Linked DNA regions of Macaca mulatta. The protein of the gene in region 1 interacts with the protein of each later gene in a biochemical or structural test. Links are inferred from orthologs where the notes say so. Each region holds a gene or a part of one and is shown in the gene's direction. Other genes may lie near its edges.

Region 1 (9,459 bases):
TGTCAGATGAGTAGATTGCAAACATTTTCTCCCATTCTGTAGGTTGCCTCTTCACTCTGACGACAGTTTCTTTTGCTGTGCAGAAGCTCTTTAGTTTAATTAGATCCCATTTGTCAATTTTGGCTTTTGTTGCCATTGCCTTTGGTGTTTTAGCCATGAAGTGTTTGCTCATGCCTATGTCCTGAATAGCATTGCCTAGGTTTTCTTCTAGGGTTTTTATGGTTTTAGGTCTTACGTTTAAGTATTTAATTCATCTTGAGTTAATTCTTGTATAAAGTTTAAGGAAGGGGTGCAGTTTCAGTTTTCTTCATATGGCTAGCCAGTTCTTGATTTAGCATTTGTGGGTTTTAAAAAAGGAGTTTCCCAAAATATTCAGTTAAACTTTTAAGTGATTTATGTGTATATTTAAATACATGATCAGTTAATATTTGTCTTAAAGGGGTTTTCTTTGTTCTTTTCTTATTATAGGAAGGTTAAACAATATGCTTATTTATGCCATAGCTTCACAAACAGGAAGGAGGTTTTAAATCGTTTAGTTCCACAATTTGAGTAGATGTGTATTTAAAGAAACGTTGTTGCATAACAAATACTGCCTCTTCCTAAAATGCATCATGCCAGAGCCAATTTTGGAAAACACAAATATGAGGTGAGTATATTTTGAAAACTATGTGAATATAATAGATCCTTAATTAATATTTGTGGATTTTATCGGAAATACTTGTTTTCTAAGGCATCTGTCTTGCAAAAAGTCAGTTTCTGCTGTGAAGGATGTTAAAGGGGACATGTAGGTTAAATTCTGTTTCTGAGTTTTGCTTCCAGAGTAAACACCCAACTTACTTTTGCCCTAAAGTATTTTATTGTTCTAGTAGAGAAGACTAACAATATATTCTAAACCGCTAAGTAATTTACATAAACTTCACTTACAAACTGTATTTGTGTGACACTTATATGAGCAAAAGCATTTTCATATTTCTTACTATATTATTCAATTCTTGCTCACCCCAATGGAAGAGACTTTATGCCCCTTTAGAGATAATGGAAATTAGGTACTTTTGATTTCTCTTAGAAAAAAAAATGAACTAGAAAGCTCCAAGTTTGGTGAATCTGGAACGTGGGTATTCCAATTCCAGTTGTAGTGCTTCCTCCCTGTCCATCACTCCTGTCTGCATGTAATTATGCAATACATTGAAAAGATTAAAAGATGGGTCTTAGACTCAGGCAGACCTGGGTCAAATCCAGATTCTGGCACAGCCCAGCCATTGCCCCTGGGAAGGCCATTTTCCTCTTCGAACCTCACTTGTTAATTAAGCTAAAAATAGTCCCCACCCCCATGGGACTGTGGGAAGGATTAAATAGAATAATGCATGAAAAGCACATAGCAGAATGGTCCATAAATGTTAGCCATTGTTATGTTATTATGTAATCTGCAAAGTATGTTTAGTTACACTTCATGAAATAGTTTCAGTTTTTCAAAGACACCACTAATACATGGGAAATCAAACCCTGAAAATTAATTTCACTTTAGCAGTAAAGTCACATGCCAGATGCAAAGGATAGTATTTCATGAACAAAGATCTTACTTTTGAGGTTTGGTCTTACTTTTTTTATTTCATAAGGAAGAAATATATATATATATATTTATATATTTGGTTTTTATTTATTTGTATATTTATTTATAATTTGTATTTATATATTTATATATTTGTTTATATATATATATTTATATTTGTTATTTATTTATTTATTTATTTTTTTGAGATGGAGTCTTGCTCTGTCACCCAGGCTGAAGTGCAGTGGCACGGTCTCGCCTCACTGCAACCTCCACCTCCCAGGTTCAAGTGATTCTCCTGTCCCAGCCTCCCGAGTAGCTAAGACTACAAGTGCCCGCCTGGCTAATTTTTGTATTTTTAGTAGAGACAGAGTTACACCATATTGGCCAAGATCTTTTGCTTTCTATAGCTCCAAATGTTCTTAATGTTAAGACACTCTTAAGACTCTGAACCATATGAATTTGCCATTTTGGTAAGTCACAGACGCCAGATGGTGGCAATTTCATATGGTGCAACCCGAAAGATTAACAAACTATCCAGCAGATGAAAGGAATTTTTTAGTTGCATTGGGATTACTGAAGAAATTGTTTGAATTCTCAGTGCATCTCCAGTTCAACAGATAATGAGGGAGTGATGCCACACTCTCAAGAGTTAAAAACAAAACAACAACAAAAAAATTAAAACAAAAGTACACAACTTTCTCTCTCCGTCCCGAAATACATACATGCATACTCCTGCTCCAGGTGAAATCCAAAGGGTAAAACTGTCTTCATGCCTGCAAATTCCCAAGGAGGGCACCCAAAGTACTTGACAACGAGTGTGCTGAGGAAATCGGCAGCTGTTGAAGTCACCTCCTGTGTGCTCTTGCCAAATGTTTGAAAGTGAATATACTGGGTTACCGGGTGTATGCTGGGAGGGGGGCATTAGCAGTGCTTGGGTGAGGGAAGTTTGTGAGTACCCAGATGGAGACATCCGTGTCTGTGTCGCTCTGGATGCCTCCAAGCCAGCGTGTGTGTTTACTTTCTGTGTGTGTCACCATGCCTTTGTGCTTCTGGGTGCTTCTGTGTTTGTTTGTGGCCGCGTTTCTGTGTTGGACAGGGGTGACTTTGTGCCTGACAGCTTCTGTGTGAGCGCGCGCGCGAGTGTGCATGTCGGTGAGCCGGGAGGGTGTGTCTCAGTGTCTATAGCTGTGGTTCCGTATAAGTCTGAGCATGTCTGCCGGGGTGTATTTGTGCCTGTATGTGCGTGCCTTGGTGGGCACTCTCGTTTCTCTCCGAATGTGGGGCAGTGCCGGTGTGTGCTGCCCTCTGCCCTGAGACCTCAGGCCGCGCAGGCGCCCAGGGCAGGCAGGTAGCGGCCACAGAAGAGCCAAAAGCTGCTGGGTTGGCTGGTAAGCACGCCAGCTCCAGCTTTAGCCCTCTGGGGCCAGCCAGGGTAGCCGGGAAGGAGTGGTGGCCCGCCCGCCGGGGAGCAGCTGGGCCCCTCCCGGGCCAGCCCGAGCAGAGGGAGGGCGAGAGGAGGGGAGGAAAGGGGATGGGTGCCTCGCCCCTTCGGGCCTGCCGGCGTGCCATTGGCCGAAAGTTCCCTTACGTCACGGCGAGGGCAGTTCCCCTAAAGTCCTGTGCACATAACGGGCAGAGCGCACTCCGAGGCGGCTTCTCCAGAGCACAGGCTGGAATTGGCGGGCACCGCGAGCCCCTGGCACCCGACAAGCTAAGTGTACAAGACGTGTCCCCACCACACCCACCCCACGGCCGCTGAATGAGGCTTCCAGGAGTCCGCTCGCGGCCCGCAGAGCCCCGCCGGGGGTCCGCCCGCTGAGGCGCCTGCAGACAGTGCGCTCACCTGCCAGACTGCGCGCCATGGGGCAACCCGGGAACGGCAGCGCCTTCTTGCTGGCACCCAACGGAAGCCATGCGCCGGACCACGATGTCACGCAGGAACGGGACGAGGCGTGGGTGGTGGGCATGGGCATCGTCATGTCTCTCATCGTCCTGGCCATCGTGTTTGGCAATGTGCTGGTCATCACAGCCATTGCCAAGTTCGAGCGTCTGCAGACGGTCACCAACTACTTCATCACTTCACTGGCCTGTGCTGACTTAGTCATGGGCTTGGCAGTGGTGCCCTTTGGGGCCGCCCATATTCTCATGAAAATGTGGACTTTTGGCAACTTCTGGTGCGAGTTTTGGACTTCCATTGATGTGCTGTGCGTCACAGCCAGCATTGAGACCCTGTGCGTGATCGCAGTGGATCGCTACTTTGCCATTACTTCACCCTTCAAGTATCAGAGCCTGCTGACCAAGAATAAGGCCCGGGTGATCATTCTGATGGTGTGGATCGTGTCAGGCCTTACCTCCTTCTTGCCCATTCAGATGCACTGGTACCGGGCCACCCACCAGGAAGCCATCAACTGCTATGCCAAGGAGACCTGCTGTGACTTCTTCACGAACCAAGCCTATGCCATTGCCTCCTCCATCGTGTCCTTCTACGTTCCCCTGGTGATCATGGTCTTCGTCTACTCCAGGGTCTTTCAGGAGGCCAAAAGGCAGCTCCAGAAGATTGACAAATCTGAGGGCCGCTTCCATGCCCAGAACCTTAGCCAGGTGGAGCAGGATGGGCGGACAGGGCATGGACTCCGCAGATCTTCCAAGTTCTGCTTGAAGGAGCACAAAGCCCTCAAGACGTTAGGCATCATCATGGGCACTTTCACCCTCTGCTGGCTGCCCTTCTTCATCGTTAACATTGTGCATGTGATCCAGGATAACCTCATCCCTAAGGAAGTTTACATCCTCCTAAATTGGGTGGGCTATGTCAATTCTGGTTTCAATCCCCTTATCTACTGCCGGAGCCCAGATTTCAGGATTGCCTTCCAGGAGCTTCTGTGTCTGCGCAGGTCTTCTTTGAAGGCCTGTGGGAATGGCTACTCCAGCAACAGCAATGGCAACACAGGGGAGCAGAGTGGATATCACCTGGAACAGGAGAAAGAAAATAAACTGCTGTGTGAAGACCTCCCAGGCACGGAAGACTTTGTGGGCCATCAAGGTACTGTGCCTAGCGATAACATTGATTCACAAGGGAGGAGTTGTAGTACAAATGACTCACTGCTGTAAAGCAGTTTTTCTACTTTTTAAGACCACCCCCCCCCAACAGAACACTAAACAGACTATTTAACTTGAGGGTAATAAACTTAGAATAAAATTGTATAGAGATATGCAGGAGGAGGGGCATCCTTCTGCCTTTTTTATTTTTTTAAGCTGTAAAAAGAGAGAAAACTTATTTGGTGATTATTTGTTATTTGTACAGTTCAGTTCCTCTTTGCATGGAATTTGTAAGTTTATGTCTAAAGGGCTTTAGTCCTAGAGGACCTGAGTCTGCTATGTTTTCATGACTTTTCCATGTATCTACCTCACTATTCAAGTATTAGGGGTAATATATTGCTGCTGGTAATTTGTATCTGAAGGAGATTTTCCTTCCCACACCCTCGGACTTGAGGATTTTGAATATCTCGGACCTTTCAGCTGTGAACATGGACTCTTCCCCGCTCCTCTTATTTGCTCACACGGGGTATTTTAGGCAGGGATTTGAGGAGCAGCTTCAGTTGTTTTCCTGAGCAAAGTCTAAAGTTTACAGTAAATAAATTGTTTGACCATGCCTTCATTGCACCTGTTTCTCCAAAACCCCTTGTCTGGAGTGCCATTGCCTCCCCGACTGGAAACCACAGGTAACTACTTGTAATAACTGCCCATGACTTAATGTAGAATGATACAAGAATGACATGCACAGATTGCTTAACCCTTTCATTTGCCTTTGAATCTGCTGCTGCAAAGCTGCATCTCTCCTGACACTCATGCCCCAAATCAGTTCTGCCTGCTCTTAGTATAGCTCAACTCTCCCTATGGTTATTGTTCTGTGTTGTTACCTCGGAAACACTGACTCACAGAAGCGGAGTTATGGGCATATGTTTTTTTTCTCTCCACGCGCCCCCACCACCCACCTTCCAGTTCTACTTGTTTCATAACTGTTTATATTTATGTCTTGGCCATGTGTTATAGTGGAGCTCTTTGTACTGCATCAGGGCTTGGCATTTTAGGGATAAGGAAGATGTTCTTGTGAGGAAGCTACTCGAACATGGCCCCGTAATTCCGAGGGAAAATTAAAAAGGCATTGGTCATGGGGAGAAAAACTGGAGAACACATAACTGATGGATACCACGTGACCTAGAAATAGAATTTTAACCCCTTTTCCTTCTTTCCTTTGGTCCCTGTTTTCTTCTCCCACTGACTCTCCTCGGTTCAGTATAAACCAAGGTTCTGAGTCTTGGCACTGTTAGCATTTTGGACCAGATAACTCTTTGTTGTGAGGGCTGCATCATTGGATGTTTAGCACCTCTGGCCTCTATTCATTAGATGCCAGGAGCATCCCCTGCTTATAACAGGCAAAAATGTTTCCAGATATTGCAAAAGAGCCCCTGAGGTGTGAATTAGCCCCTGATTGAGAGTCACTGGTAGAAACTAAAAATCTCAGCAGATATATACATTCTTTCTGCAAGCACTTGATTGTGCCGAGCCTTGGAGAGGGATTTTCACAGTTCACCTAGGCAGTAACACACCCTCATCAGCACTCTTTCCATTCCATCATGCTGCCTCCTAAACTTGCTTTCTAGCTGCCCAAATAGTGACCCTGAAGTGTTAAGAAGGCTTCAGGTCTGTACATGAATTGTCAATGGAGGTGAGGCCTGTGGCCCATGGCTCCTGCTTGTGAAGAGATTAGAATACTGTCAAGAGGCACGTTAGGGGAAATCACAAAAGTAAACACATTTCTTCTCCCAGCCCCTTTCTATTTTTGCCTGTGTGTCTGAGCCAGAGCTTGGCCCAGGTTTGATGAAGTGGATCGTCCTCCTTGGCAACGCCAGGCTAGGGCAGATCGGCCTACAGGGTTCATTGCCATTTCACTGGCTCATGAAGCTGACTCCACTCCTCTCTTCCTTTCTATCCCAGCCAAGGTCCCCAACCAGAAAAGCATTGGCCTTCTCTGCTTCCTGTCAGCTCAATGATGGGACGTTTGGGTGAGCACTGAGCTCTCAGGAGAATGTTAGGCGCCTGTGATTTTGGAACATGCCGTGGCAAATTGGGGAATGTGTGTCATTCGGTGCTTTCACTTTTTTCCAAGGGTTTGCATACCTATTATCACATTCTCTCTCTACTGCTCTGGTCCCCACACTCAGAGATTTGGGCAGCTTCTTTGGCTAATCTTCATACTCCCGGTAGCCTCATAAAATCTCAGACATGGAAGAGCCCATAGAAAGTATTTAACATCTGAAGAGACTGAAACGCTGTGAGGCGAAGGGCTTGCCCAAGGTAAGCAGCCAAGGATGTCAGAGTGGGAACTCAAGCCAGGGAACCCAACTGCTATTCCAGGAACTGCTGCATTCTCTCCACCACATTAGCATTGAGTTCTTTCCTCACCCTCAACTGGGGCTATAACATAACACATTCATTTCGGCCAAGGTATTTTTCTTTTGTCCTTAACACAAAATTTGGAGCATAAACAAATAATCTGCAATAGGAACAAAAGAAACAATTGCTCATTTAACTCAGCAAGAGTCCACTAAGATATCTTCTGCATTTAGGGAAGCTGGGAGATTCCTTAGCCCTTTATAACCAAATGTCAGTGTTGTATATATACTCCTTTGCCTAAAGGAATGTCTAATGTAATTTCTGTGAAAAATTCAGGTATTAATATTAATTCAGATTCCCAGCTAAAAGGAGAGTTTAACCATATTCACATTCCTTTACGAATATTGTAAGCACAAGAACTTTGATTAGTTTTAAGGGTCCTGATAAGCAAGAGTATTCTAGCCATATCTTAATCCTTTACTTTCTACCTCTTTGGTGTGTTGCTTTGTTTCTTTTGAGGGGTTGGCTTTTGTTGGTGTCCCTTTGTCTCTCTGTTGCTGACAAGTTGGCTACCTAAAATTTGTGTTGTATTCATCATCGGAAAGTTTTCTTTGCCTGGACAGCAAGTTCTCAGAGTCTGTCAAATGAGAACTTTTTTCTAAGATGCAAGCTGACAGATGTGAACGGTGGCAGGACAGGGTGAGCCTCCCTACTGAATAATTAATGGGATAAGGAATCTGGAGAAAAGGGAGCTTGAGAATAGGAACTATCTTTGCACGATTCTTGGAATGTTTCTCATGGTGAACCTACTGCCAAATGGAGCCTAAACCAGAATCAATCAGAAAGTATTTTTGGAGAACCTACTGTGTGTAGCATGAGAAAAGTATAGGTTTCAGTTTCTGCCTTTTGGAGCATGATATTAATGATACTAAGCAGATAGCTTTTATGGAATCTTACTAAATGTTAGTGACTATATTAGACACCTGTTAGGCATTATGTCCTCTTCACAACTGTATGATGTAGGTAGCATAATTGTCCTCATCTAACAAACGAGGGAGCTGAGGCTCAGAAAGCTTCAGTAACTTTCCAAAGCTATACCACCAACTAGTTGCAGAGTCAGGACGAGAACCCAGGTCTCTGTGATTCCAGGATCCATGGAGCCTAGCACCCAGGCAAAACAGGAAGCAGCACGAGGTAGCTTAGAATCTGTGCCAGAACAAGTGTAAGAACTGGAAATGCAATACTTTGTTGAGAGAAGAGGGAGATTGCTGTGGGTTGAGGCAGGGAGGAATGTTCCCTTCCAAGCATGTTACTGCAGTGTTTCTGGGGACTGGGACAAAAAAACCGATCACTGAAGTGCCTAGTTTGCTTCTCCGAGTCTTTGTTTTGTCTTCTCATCAGAGAATCAGACCAAAATGGAAAGAGGATGTGAAACTCTAAAACGAACACAGCAGAGTGAAGCAGAAACACAGGCTGCCCTACATCCTGCAACTCTTTCTCAGCCCCAGCGTTGGAAAGGTCTCCTAAATTGAGTGGGTGGCCGGATTTTATGGAAATTTGATAGGTCTGGGTAGCCATATAGGTATGTTGTCCATCTTGAGCTAGCATTCTAGAGCAAAGGAGATGATTTTCTGACAACAGAGAGCAAGGAAAGTTAATATGCTTTCAGTGATACTTTTCATTGACAGTATAACCTCTACTAAATTCAGTCTGTGCTAATCCGTACTTCACTGACAGTGCAAATATAATTTGAAGGAGGGATTTTTCTAAATGCCTAAGAGAACAAACTTCCTAAGCACTTTCAAGAACTTGAGAAATTCTGGTGTTTTATGAATAATAGGAGGCAGGGTGAGGTGAAAAGAGCCCCCCTCCAACCTCCCGCCCACCCCCACTCTCTCTCTCTCTGAAGTTGGGTGAGGCAGTTTTCCTCAGCAGACTTCCGTTTGCTCATCTGTAATTTGAGGCCAGTACAGGTGGTATCTAAGCTCTGCTCCACTCTAAATGTAAATTTATACAGTTGTTAATTTAGAGGCTAGAGATAATCATTTATATTTCTAATTAGAGTTGATGACATTTGCCATATAAACAATGGTTGAATATTCTGAAGGTTGTCAGCCTGCAGAAGAGAATGCTGTGAAGTACTATTTTGTGCATGATAATTTCTTTTGAGTATGATCTGGGGGGAAAAAAACAGATTTCTCAGTTCTGCATGAATACAAGAAGGCAAGCAGAACCTTACAGAATGGCAGATTCCAGCTCAGGTATAGGAAGACTTTCAAAAGAGTGAAATAAATAATCTATCAGGATCATGAACCTCCTGTTTGTGGGAGCATTCAAGAGAAGCCCAGATGAAGCTCTGTTCGGGATAAAGCACAAGGCCTGCACTGAGCGGGAGGCTGGGCTAGGCTCTTTCCAAATCTGTGATCCTGTGTCATTGAAAACAGCAGACCTGAATGTTCTTAAAGTGTATTCAAACTGTTCCCTAATTCCAGCTGGCCTTCTCCCCAATTCCT
Region 2 (10,455 bases), on another chromosome or scaffold:
TGGCTCTGACAAAAACGCCCTGAGTTTTCCCTGACTTCCCCTGAGGAGGCTCCTGAGTCTTAGAACTTGTCGCGTGCCTCTTAGGGATGTTCCCGCTTTGGATGAGATCAGCTGGGCTCTGCAGTGCCCTGCACATAAGAGAATCCAATACCTGTCAGCGGCTGTTATCACGTATGGTTTGCCCATAAGCTCCCCGCCCGTGTCTTCCCATGTTGGATCCGCAAGGCCAAGCACAGGTGCCTGGCATGTAGTAGGAGCTCAACAAATACTGTCAAATAATCAAGTGAATGAATCAACTCCCAGCATCCCAGCCAGAGCCTTACACTTTCTGGGGACCCGACATCAGAGGAGTGGCTGTCCATGTTGGGGAAGAGTGTCCCCAGATCAATCTGGCACACACCTGCTGAGGTCAAGGGAGCCCCCAGCTCGCCCTCCTGCTCTGCAAAGCCCAGGCTGGAGGCGGAGAAAAGAGGTCTCAGCAGGACAAAACTCTCACTCCTGGGCCTTGGCACATGCCACTTCCAAACTGCTCACGCACACAATGTCATGTTCAAGACTTTACCCGACCCTCCCCGACCTTCTCCCGAGTGCCCTCACTTCCTTTTTTTTTTTTTTTTTTTTTTTTTGAGACGGAGTCTCGCTCTGTCGCCCGGGCTGGAGTGCAGTGGCCGGATCTCAGCTCACTGCAAGCTCCGCCTTCCAGGTTTACGACATTCTCCTGCCTCAGCCTCCCGAGTAGCTGGGACTACAGGCGCCCGCCATCTCGCCCGGCTAGTTTTTTTGTATTTTTTTTTTTAGTACAGACGGGGTTTCATCGTGTTAGCCAGGATGGTCTTGATCTCCTGACCTCGTGATCCACCCGTCTCGGCCTCCCAAAGTGCTGGGATCTCACTTCCTTAAACTATAGCTCTTGTCAGGTTAATTGGAGATATGTGTTTAGGTGTTTTCTTCCCCTACTAGACTAGGCTAACACGGAGTCTTGATTCTTTTTGCAGGCCTTACTTTGTGCTAGGGATGAGGGGTGCAGCAGTGACCAGGACAAACAGGGACGCCAAGGGAGAGACCTCTGAGCAGGAGCTCTTCCGCCCACAAGGTGGCAGCACGAGGAGGAGCCTGCCACTCCGGAAGTGGGGAAGGGCAGTCCAGGCAAGGGAACTGTAAAGCTAAGGCCCCAGAGGTGGAAATGGACTTGGCTTGTTCTAGTGACAGAAGGAAGACCAGAGAGGCTGGAGACTAAGAGGAAGGGGAAGGATGGAAATTGCCGAGTTAGAGAGATGGGCAGGGACCAGTCTGTGCAGATCTTACAGGCCACAGGAAGTGGGGTGGATTTTATCCTAAGTGCAGGGGCAGTCGTTGGGGGTGGGCTTTGATTTAGATCTATAGAAGCTCAACCTGCAGGAGCAGCAGGGCGTGCAGAGAGGAGGCTGGTGCAGGCATGCAGGCAAGAGGTGATTGAGACTCAGGCCAGGGTTTAGCAGGGCACAGTGGAAGGATCGAGGGTGTACTTCAGAGACAGATATGCCAGAGATGCTGTATGACAGCAGGGGTATACATGGGGGTAGGGGCCAGATGAGGGAAGAGAGGAATCGAGGACAGCTCCTAGATTTTGGGAAAATGGAGGATCCATGCTTGAGATGGGGAGGCGGGAGAGGAGCAGGTTGGACAGGGGCTGGGTAGTGGGAGCAAGAGCTCAGTGTGTGGGCCGCGCTAAGTTTGCAACATCTATTAGTCATCCAGTGGCGATGCCAAGTAATGATGTGTCTGTGGGGCTGCCAGCTGGGCGGAGATGGGGCTCCACTCCACTTTGCACTCCTAGCATCCTGGTCAGGAGCAGTCTAGGCACAGGACAAAGGTTTGTAGGGAGAAGAAATGCCTGACACTGACCTGCAAAGGCAATCGACCTTCCCAGGACCAACAGAGGACAGCACCATCCCCAAAACCAGTCTTCCCCAGGCCTGGGGCTCACACCAACCTCTTCTGAACCTGGGGCTTCCTGAAGTCACTTTTTCTGGGCCCAGGAATCAACGAAGGGAGACCAGCCCCCCTCAAAAGACCCCAGCTTCAGGCCTGGCAGGGGGTGTGGATTGGGCTGTGGGTGGGAGGGACTGAGTCTTTAGGTGGGAGTGGGAAGGTAAGGCCACCTCTTGGAACAGAATGGCTGGCATTTCAGAACGCACACACAGACTCTGGTCTGACAAGTTCATCAGGCAGAAGTTTTTAAATAGAGGTTATTCCCGAAAACCCTGGCTGACATGTGGCTGTGCTCACAGTCCAGAAGAGTCAGGACAGGGCAGTGGGGAGAGGAGGTTAGAGGCTTCAAGTTGTGGCATCTGGCCTTGTTCCACTCCAAACCCCATGTGCTCCAACAGCTCATTCACTCATTCATTCACTCCTCAAACATTGACGCCTTTGAGTCAGGTCCTGTGGTGGGCACTGGGAGCAAGGGATGAACTAGGAGCACCAGTGACAGTGGGGGACAGTATGTACTCTTTAAATATATATAACAGCATTTCCAACATCACGATGCATTTTCCAATTGATGCAGATATGTAATGAGACTTCACTCCCCACTCTCAAAACTTGCAATGATGCATCTTGCAATGATGCATCTTGCAACTGAAGATGGAAAATAGGGCCTAGAAGGTGGGAAGTGTAGAATTGGAGATGTACATAGTTGGGGTCAGGGAGTCAGGGAAGACTGCCGGGAGGAGGTGAGTCTTAGCGGATAAGTAGGAGTTGGCCAGGGAGGAAGGTACACAGAAGGGCTTCCAGGCCCAGGAAACAGCAGAGGCACAGAAGTGAGAATGGGTGGGTGAGTTGGTGGGGGAGCTCCAGGTGCAGAGGATGGTAGCAAAACAAACGGGAGCATCCAAGGTCCAAGTCCTCCAAGATCTTGACTTGCAGATTAAGGAGTTTGTTCACCTAACCTGCTTTGGGCAGAGTGGGGTGAGTCCTAGAGACCCCTCTAGGTCTCTCACTCTCAGTAGCCCCAGAAGGCCTGGAGAGCTGCTTCTTGGTGCCAAGCAGGCAGTGACTCCATCAGATCTAGACCTGGGAAAGGCATCTCTGGTCAGGGCCTGCATCAGGGCAGTGGCTGGCCATAGGACCCTGAGAAGTAGACAGATTCAAGGAGATTCTCAGGAGGCCAGACAGGAGACTATAGTGACAAATTAGAGAAGGGGAGAAAATGAAGGAGCAGTTAGGGAAAAGAAACCTGGGGCTCACCACTCACTGAGAGGAGAACCTCACTAGCTCTGATATGCTCTGGTTCCAGGTTCTGTTGGGACTGATCCAAGAAGGTAGCCTAGAAGTGCACAGAGATGGGAGCCTTGCTTTGCAAAAGGATCCTGGTTGCTGGCCCACAACATGGTAATGAGATTTGAGCTCTATGTGCCCAGGGCTGGGAGGAGGGTCCTATCACTTCAAAAGCAAAGAGAGGGTCTAGAGAGGGGCATGTTGAGATAGGACTGCTGCCTTGAGACACCTGGCTTTCCTCACTCTGGGTGGGCTCTCGGGTGGGTTTCCCCTACCAGGCAGCACTGAAACCTCTGTGCCCTCCCAGGCTGGGAGAGGTTTCACCCTACATGTGGAACCATCCTGAAGGAGCGTCTAGATGGGATGGGGTACACGGAAGGGAGCTGCCAAGAGTGCTGGCCAGGGACCTGGGTCTACGAGCCTGTTAGGGGGTGGGGTTGGGTGTAGGGTACTTGATCCAGAGTGGGCCTGCAGGGGCCAGGATTGGTTCTAGAGTAGGAGGGGTGGGATCGGGGATGGGGGAAGGCTGTAATTGGACTGTAGTTGTCAGATCCCAGGTTCTGGGTGACCTACTAAGGATTCTGGGTCCAATGTGGGTCCCAGGTTAGATGTCCTAGTCCCAAGTCTGTGTCCACAGTTCTGGGTGTTGAGCCTAGGACAGTGGTCTGGAGTTGATAGTCCAATCTAGGTCTGAGCCCTGACCCCAAGTCTAGGATGCAGGGTCATGGTAGTGGCCTAGGGTCAGAGTCAAGGTTGGGGTCAGTAACCAGGATGAGATCGAGGTCATGGTCCAAAATCTGGATCTGGGGAACTGTTAGGGGTCTGGGGTGAGTGTCACAGTCTGGGTATGGCGTTGGAGACCCAGGGCTGTGATCTGAGGTCATGGTTAGAGTCTGAGGTGGCGGGCAAAGGTTTGAGTCTGGGGTCCTGTTTGGAGTCTGGTGTCAGGTCGTGGACTGCGTCAAAGGTCAGGGAGTCTGGGGTTATAGCCAGGGTCTGAGATGAAAGCCCCGGGGTGGTGTTCAGAGGTCTGAATCTGTGTCTTGGTGAGCGTCCAGGTTCCTTGTGATCATGTCTGTTGTCAGGACCACGGCCTGACTGGAGAGCCTGGGATTCAGAGATGTGACCCGAGGTTGTGGTCAAGGAATGGGTCTGGGATCGTCTTCCGTGCCGGGTCCCTGTCTTGTTCCAGGCCCGGGTCTCCGTCCAGACCCGAGGTCACCGCCAGGATCTGAGCCCTCTGTCGCAGGTCTCCGCGCGGCCTCCAGGGGGCACCATCGCCCGCCCGGCTCGGCCACTTGCGGGCTCGCTGGCGCTGTGCGCGGCAGGCGGGGCCGGAGGCGGCGGCGGCTCCGGGGCGCGGGCGCGCGGGCGGCGGCGGCGGCGGCGGCGGCGCCCCGACTGCAGTCCCGGCGGGAGCGGAGCGCGAGCCGGGGCCGGGCCCGAGCCGGCGCCATGGGGCGGCGCCGCCTGTGAGCGGCGGCGAGCGGAGCCGCGGGCGCCGAGCGGGGCCAGGCGGGAGGCGTCGGCGCCCCAGGCCGACCGAGCCGCGGCCGGACCGGGCCGAGCGCCGAGCGAGCGGGAGCGGCGGCGGCGGCGGCGGCGGCGGCGGCGGGAGGAGGCAGCGCCGCCGCCAAGATGGCGGACCTGGAGGCGGTGCTGGCCGACGTGAGCTACCTGATGGCCATGGAGAAGAGCAAGGCCACGCCGGCCGCGCGCGCCAGCAAGAAGATCCTGCTGCCCGAGCCCAGGTGAGGAGAAGTCGCCCGCGGCCCCGGCCCGACCCCGCGGGCACCCCGGCCGCGACTCCGAGACCCTGGCCCCACACTCGACCCCGCGACTTGGACCCCCGGGGCCGGCTCTCGCGACCCTCTGTCGGCCCCCGAGCCCGGAGCAGCCCGGCCGTGGCGCCTGCGGGTCCAGACGCTAAGCCCCAGACCCCGGGCGCCTGAGCCCGGAGCGCCCCAACTCCGGAGCTCCTCTGCCCCTTCGGCCCCCGGGCCCGCTCCGGTCCCGCCGGCCGCCCTGCTGCTTCCTTATCGCGTTCCGCCGGCCCCCCGCTCCAGTCGCTGTCAGCCCCTAGCTCCCGCCTTCTCCCACAGGGGCCCGGCGCGCCCCTTCATCCTCCTCCGAGCAGCCCTTGGTCCCTGTGGGGTCCCTTCCCCTCCGCCGGCCACCATTTACCTCGCCTGACGATGTCACCCACCCTTTTGCTGTCCCTGCTCACGGCACCCGCCTTGGGGTTTCCACTACCCCCACCCGTCTCCCCTCCAGTCTACACTTGTGTGAGGTGTGGGGGGACAGCCAGTTTTCCGGACTCTTCTCCCACCCTCTGGTGGAGTCGCTATCCTGTAGTTGGGCTTGAGAGTGCTTTCGGGGCGGCGTGGTGAGCAGGACCTAGGGTGCTGCGGACGCCCTCCCCCTCGGACCGCGCTCAGGTGGGGGAAACATGCCGTGCCCTCTCCCCCACATTCCTTCTCGGGCGTGCACTGCATATGGTGCCCGGTGGGTGCTGTTGACCAGGGGCCCTCCCAGCACACTGGCAACAGCTGGACCTTAGCTGCCGCCCCTGTAAGACAACTGACATCACACCTGGTATCAAAGTTTAGACTGTTCAGGATGTAGGTGCAAAAGTACACAGGATGTGGACGATTGCTGCGGTTTGTCCAGCTCTTTATGGCTGATGGAGTATCTCTCCACTGTGTGAGCCTCTCAGCAGCGAATGGGGTGGCCAGGACAGGTGTGGTTTTGTCCCTGTGGAACAGGTGGGGAAACTGAAGCTCCAGAGGTGAGTGGCCTGCGCCAAGTCACACAGGTAGTCTCAGGTGGCACCTGGCCAACAGATCAGGGCTTCAGACTTCCGGTTCTACATTTCATTGGCTGCCCTGGCCTGCGCCAGGGAGCAGATGTGCCCGCCACGGTCCTTTGTGTCGTGTGGCAACTCCTCGTGCATGCCTGAGAGTTAGCCTCCTGGTGCCCCAGCAGGCTGGGAATGGGGCCTGTCCACACTGCCGTGGTCTTATCTTGTGACTGTGGGCAAGTCCCTTCCCTCACTGGGCCTCAGTCTTCTCATCTGTGAAATGTGGATGGCGTGAAATAAGAGTTGTGACTCTGTGATGTCCCTCAGCCTTTGAAGTGTCTGTCTAAGCCTGGGCTGACGCTGCAGGGGTGCCATGCCCATGGCCCTCACCGGCCCCCTCTGCCATGCCCTGCTCACTGGGTGTTTGGATTGACTGAACGTCAGGCCGGGGAGAGGAAAATTGGTCTGCATTCTGAAAAGGCCGTTAGGGCCTTTTTTTTCTAAGATATTTGCAATCAGATTTCTCAAAACAGGAACCAGACTGACTGTCAGCTGGGGGCTGTCCAGGGAGCAGTGACGGTTAGTGCAGAAATGAGTTCAGAAATGACAAACCCACGAGGGAGGAAATGGGGGAGTCAGCCTCTAGGGCTCAAAACGGCTCTCCTTCGTGGCCGCAGCTTTGAGACCCTCCTGCAGGATGGAGTTCGGCAATGTGTGAGGTGGGACCTTTTCTGGAACTGTCTGCGTTCGTGTACTTTTCCCCCCAGAATGCATTGCTTCTGATGGGGTGCCGCCTTGGCTCTGCAGGTGTCAGAACCCGGAGAAACGAGATGTTCTTCTTTTCCTGTCCCCTTTCCCATCCACAGCAGTGATGGCGATGATAGCAATAATGATAGGAGTTATTACTGACTTACCTGTTTTGACATCTGTCCTCTCAATTCTTCAACCAACCTGTGAAGCTGGCAAGGCCATGCCTTGCATGTAGTAGTTGCCCAAGAAATACCAGGACTGTGTGACGCCCCAGGCAGTCCTGAGCAGAAACAAGGTTGGATAGGATTCTAGGAGGACAGCAGGAGGCGGAGCCAGGCAGCCCAGGTTTTCACATTGGGTCACCATCAGCAGCATGGCCTTCCGCAAATTGCCCACATCTGTGAAATGGACTGGAGGTGCGAGCGCCGAATGTCAGTGTGCTAAGGCCTGGGAAGGGCTATGGGCCACCCCTACATGGGGGTCCAGGCCTGGGGCATTAGGGAGCAAGCCACCCTTTGCATAATGCCTTGCCTTGCACACCCAGTGGGGCAGAGCGCACCCCCCGCCGCCCCGATGGTGATCCTGACCACGTCTCATGTTTGCCCGACACTTTTCCGTTTGCAGAGTGCTTTTTACTCCATTTTGTCCTTTTGACAACTGTGGGAGGCAGGCCCAGCAGATGGGATTCTCCCCTTTAGCAGTTGAAGTCATTGAGGCTCAGGGAGGGGAGGAGTCGTGTTCTCGTCACAGAAGAAAGCTGGAATGGGGCCTCAGGTTTCTGGACCACACAGGCCAGTGCTGTTTCTCTGCTGTGCTTTATCCCCTCCACCCACCCCTGCACACCACTGTTCTCACCCCTGTCCACATTTTGCGGCGTGGGCTGACTGGCACCGCTTGTCTGGGGCCATTGGCTGTCACAGTTCACAAGGCTCAGCCCCCTTCCTGTTGGCTGGGATGGAGAATTGAGCTGCCCTGGCAAAGCTACTGCCTCGAGGGGCAGCTCCACTCCGGGGTCCCATCAGATGCAGGAGCCTGTCTTCCCCATACCCCCAAGGTCAAGGTCAGAGTCAGGGAGAGGGGCTGTGGCTTGTCCCCGTGACAGGGTGCCTCTGGGAATTGTTCACACCTTGAGGTGGCCCACCTTGGCAGTCCCTCCATGGCTGGTGCCTGGGGATGTGGCTTGGCCGAGAGCTGGGGCTGGCATCACAGCTCTGAGTTCCAATGCCTAGGGAATGGGAGTGGTTAGGCACAGTGCCACATTGAGTTGGTACAGGGGCCTCCCCTTCTGTCACCCTATAGAATCCGAGGAAACAGTCCCTTTCCCCGACCTTCTTCTAGAAGGAGGCAGCGTAAGGCAGCATTGTGTATCTGGAGGATGGGAGACCTGGCTTCTCCCTCTACCACCAGCCCACATGGGACCCAGGCCAGTCCCTTAGCCTGACTGGGCCTGCCTCGTTTTCCACCTTGGTAAATTTAGGGGGCTGCCCCTTCACTCTCAGGGTCTGTGGTCTGGACCTTGCCCTGAAGGAACTGCCGTCTCCCTTTCCCGGCAGCCAGCAGTCTTGTAATTTTCATCATTTGCTTGATATGACCACTGAGGCCTGGTGTAATTAATCTCTGGGCTCCTAGCTGAGGAGCCCTGCCTGGGCGCTCCCAGGAGGTTCCTCTGCCCTCCCCAGTGACAGTGGCAGCCCCAGCAGCAGATTGTCAGAGCCAGGTGCCTCTTGCAGCCTCCCGATTTCTTGGCTGTTTCCTGGTCCCTCCCCACCGAGAGTTTCCTCCTTCCTGCCCCTTTCTGGCTTCCCTGTCTCCCCAGACCCTGCCCCTGTTCCTCCGCTGCCTCGTTCCTGTTAACTCTTTGCAGCCAGAACTTCCTGCCCTTGATTTGTGGGGGAAGGAGTGCAGCGGGAAGCTTTTTCCCTCCCTCCTTCCTCCACTCCTGCGGCACCAGCTGCAACCCTGCTGCTTCCAGCCTTTGTCCCTTACCCAGAACTTTCCACTTCAGTGGCAGCATTCTCCTGACTCCTTTCCCTGAAAACAAGATGATCTTTCTTGCAGTCTCTCCCTCTGGGCCTTTGAAGCCCCCCCGTTCCCCAGGAATGGGTCTCTGGGATGTGTTTCTCATCTGCTTTCCTTTCCAGAGCATGGGTTTCACTTATTTGCCGTTAAGTCACCCGCCTGCCGTTACCTGGATAAATGGATTTGAAGGGAGTGTGAGCAATGCAGATTGGAATCTGTGCAGGGGAATTTGGGCTGTTAACCCAGAATGAGGTGTCCTATTAATGCACAATCAATTCCTAGTAGTAAGTTCCCGGTGACGTCAGGTGCAGGCGTGCTCCGCAGCCAGCATCTCCTCCCCGTGCCTAGGTTGCACCCAGGTGGGCTTGGCAGAGGGGTTGAGTGCTCAGGCTAGTGGGTTCGGGTTGGCTTGGCTGTTGCTTTCAGGATTATGCTCTTGCCTCAGAACACATAGCAGGAACCAAAAGCACAGTGTTGCCCTTGAGGACGCACAGCCTCCCTCACACCTGCCCCTTTTTCCCAAGCCCCTTCCCTACTCTCCTTCGGCTCCCCATAGGTCAGTTTCCGCTGCTGGATGGAGCTATATTCACGTTATTTCTACTTTGCTGCAACTGAGATACTAAAAATGAGATGTTTGTCTGCAGCTTTTTTCTAAAACAATAATATCCCTTCTCTGCTTTGCTGCTTACTGCAAAGGGCCACGTCTATGCTGGCAGAAGTGGGTTTTCTGGTATTAACATGTTGGCAGCTCTGTTCCCAGTTAGGGGCAATTTTCTGACTCTAGAGCCATCTCGTGTTTGTGATGGGGGACAACCCCCTCCTGGGAACCACAGGGCACAGAGTTCTGGAAGTTTGTTCTTGGTGCATTCTAGCGTGATGCAGATTACGGTCTCCATGTCGGCAGTAAATTGCAGGGTGTGGGTGCTCATGTCATATTTGTGAAGAAGCCGTGACATTTGACAAGGCCGCCAGAGTGCCTCTTCCCCAGCATCCCGCAAGGGAGCTGCTTTGTGGCCGACGCAACGTTCCGGAGCCCGGGCTGTGTGCCGGGCCAGCTGGCTTTTTCTCTCCACTGCTCAGGGCTTGCCTTGGACTGATGGTTTGGGCTGGTCTTTCCTATTTGGTCTGTGGCCCCATCCTTGAGCTCTGAGGATGTTGTTGGCCCCAGGGAGAGTCATTGAGAAACATTAAGAAGCCCCAGGGGACTTCCTCCTGCTGCTGGCACCTTGGTGTCAGGTTTCCTGGAAATGCCACAGGGAGCACCTCGGCCATAGCCACAAGCCCTGCTGCGCTGGCTGGTGAACGCTTGCTCATCTCCCAGGGGACGGTTCCCAGAGTGGCCGCACCAGACCTGCCAGGCCTGTAGCCTTCGTGCCAGCTCTCACCGTCCTGGCGTGGCAAAGCTTTAGCATCGCTGTCGCACGACAGGCACAGGAACCATGGCTCCTGGCTGCCAGCTGCCGGCCAAGGCTGCCTCTCATCCTGGGTTCCAGGGAAGGGGGCTGCCCGCCTCCTGCAGCCCCTGGTCAGGGGCGGGAGGGCCTCCAGGCCAGAGGCTGGGCACATGTCAGGGTCCTCTGAGCCCTGCACCCAGCTCTTTCACAGGGATCAAGGGGAGGATGGAGGGTGCT

What was found. The genes of interacting proteins can lie anywhere in the genome.
Region 2: the proteins of ADRB2 (region 1) and GRK2 form a complex in vitro, tested with the Homo sapiens proteins (2 studies listed by BioGRID, with this or other methods). The link is inferred for Macaca mulatta from reciprocal best matches to the Homo sapiens genes ADRB2 and GRK2.

What each region holds. Positions count from the first base shown.
Region 1 is NC_133411.1:157,782,499-157,791,957, forward strand, and holds ADRB2 (beta-2 adrenergic receptor), read left to right. Parts: upstream 1-3,372; 5' UTR 3,373-3,412; coding exon 3,413-4,660; 3' UTR 4,661-4,692; downstream 4,693-9,459. UniProt on the Homo sapiens protein: Beta-adrenergic receptors mediate the catecholamine-induced activation of adenylate cyclase through the action of G proteins. The beta-2-adrenergic receptor binds epinephrine with an approximately 30-fold greater affinity than it does norepinephrine.
Region 2 is NC_133419.1:7,115,440-7,125,894, reverse strand, and holds the start of GRK2 (beta-adrenergic receptor kinase 1), read left to right. Parts: upstream 1-4,551; 5' UTR 4,552-4,893; coding exon 4,894-5,006; intron 5,007-5,861; exon of another isoform or gene 5,862-6,043; intron 6,044-10,455. UniProt on the Homo sapiens protein: Specifically phosphorylates the agonist-occupied form of the beta-adrenergic and closely related receptors, probably inducing a desensitization of them. Key regulator of LPAR1 signaling.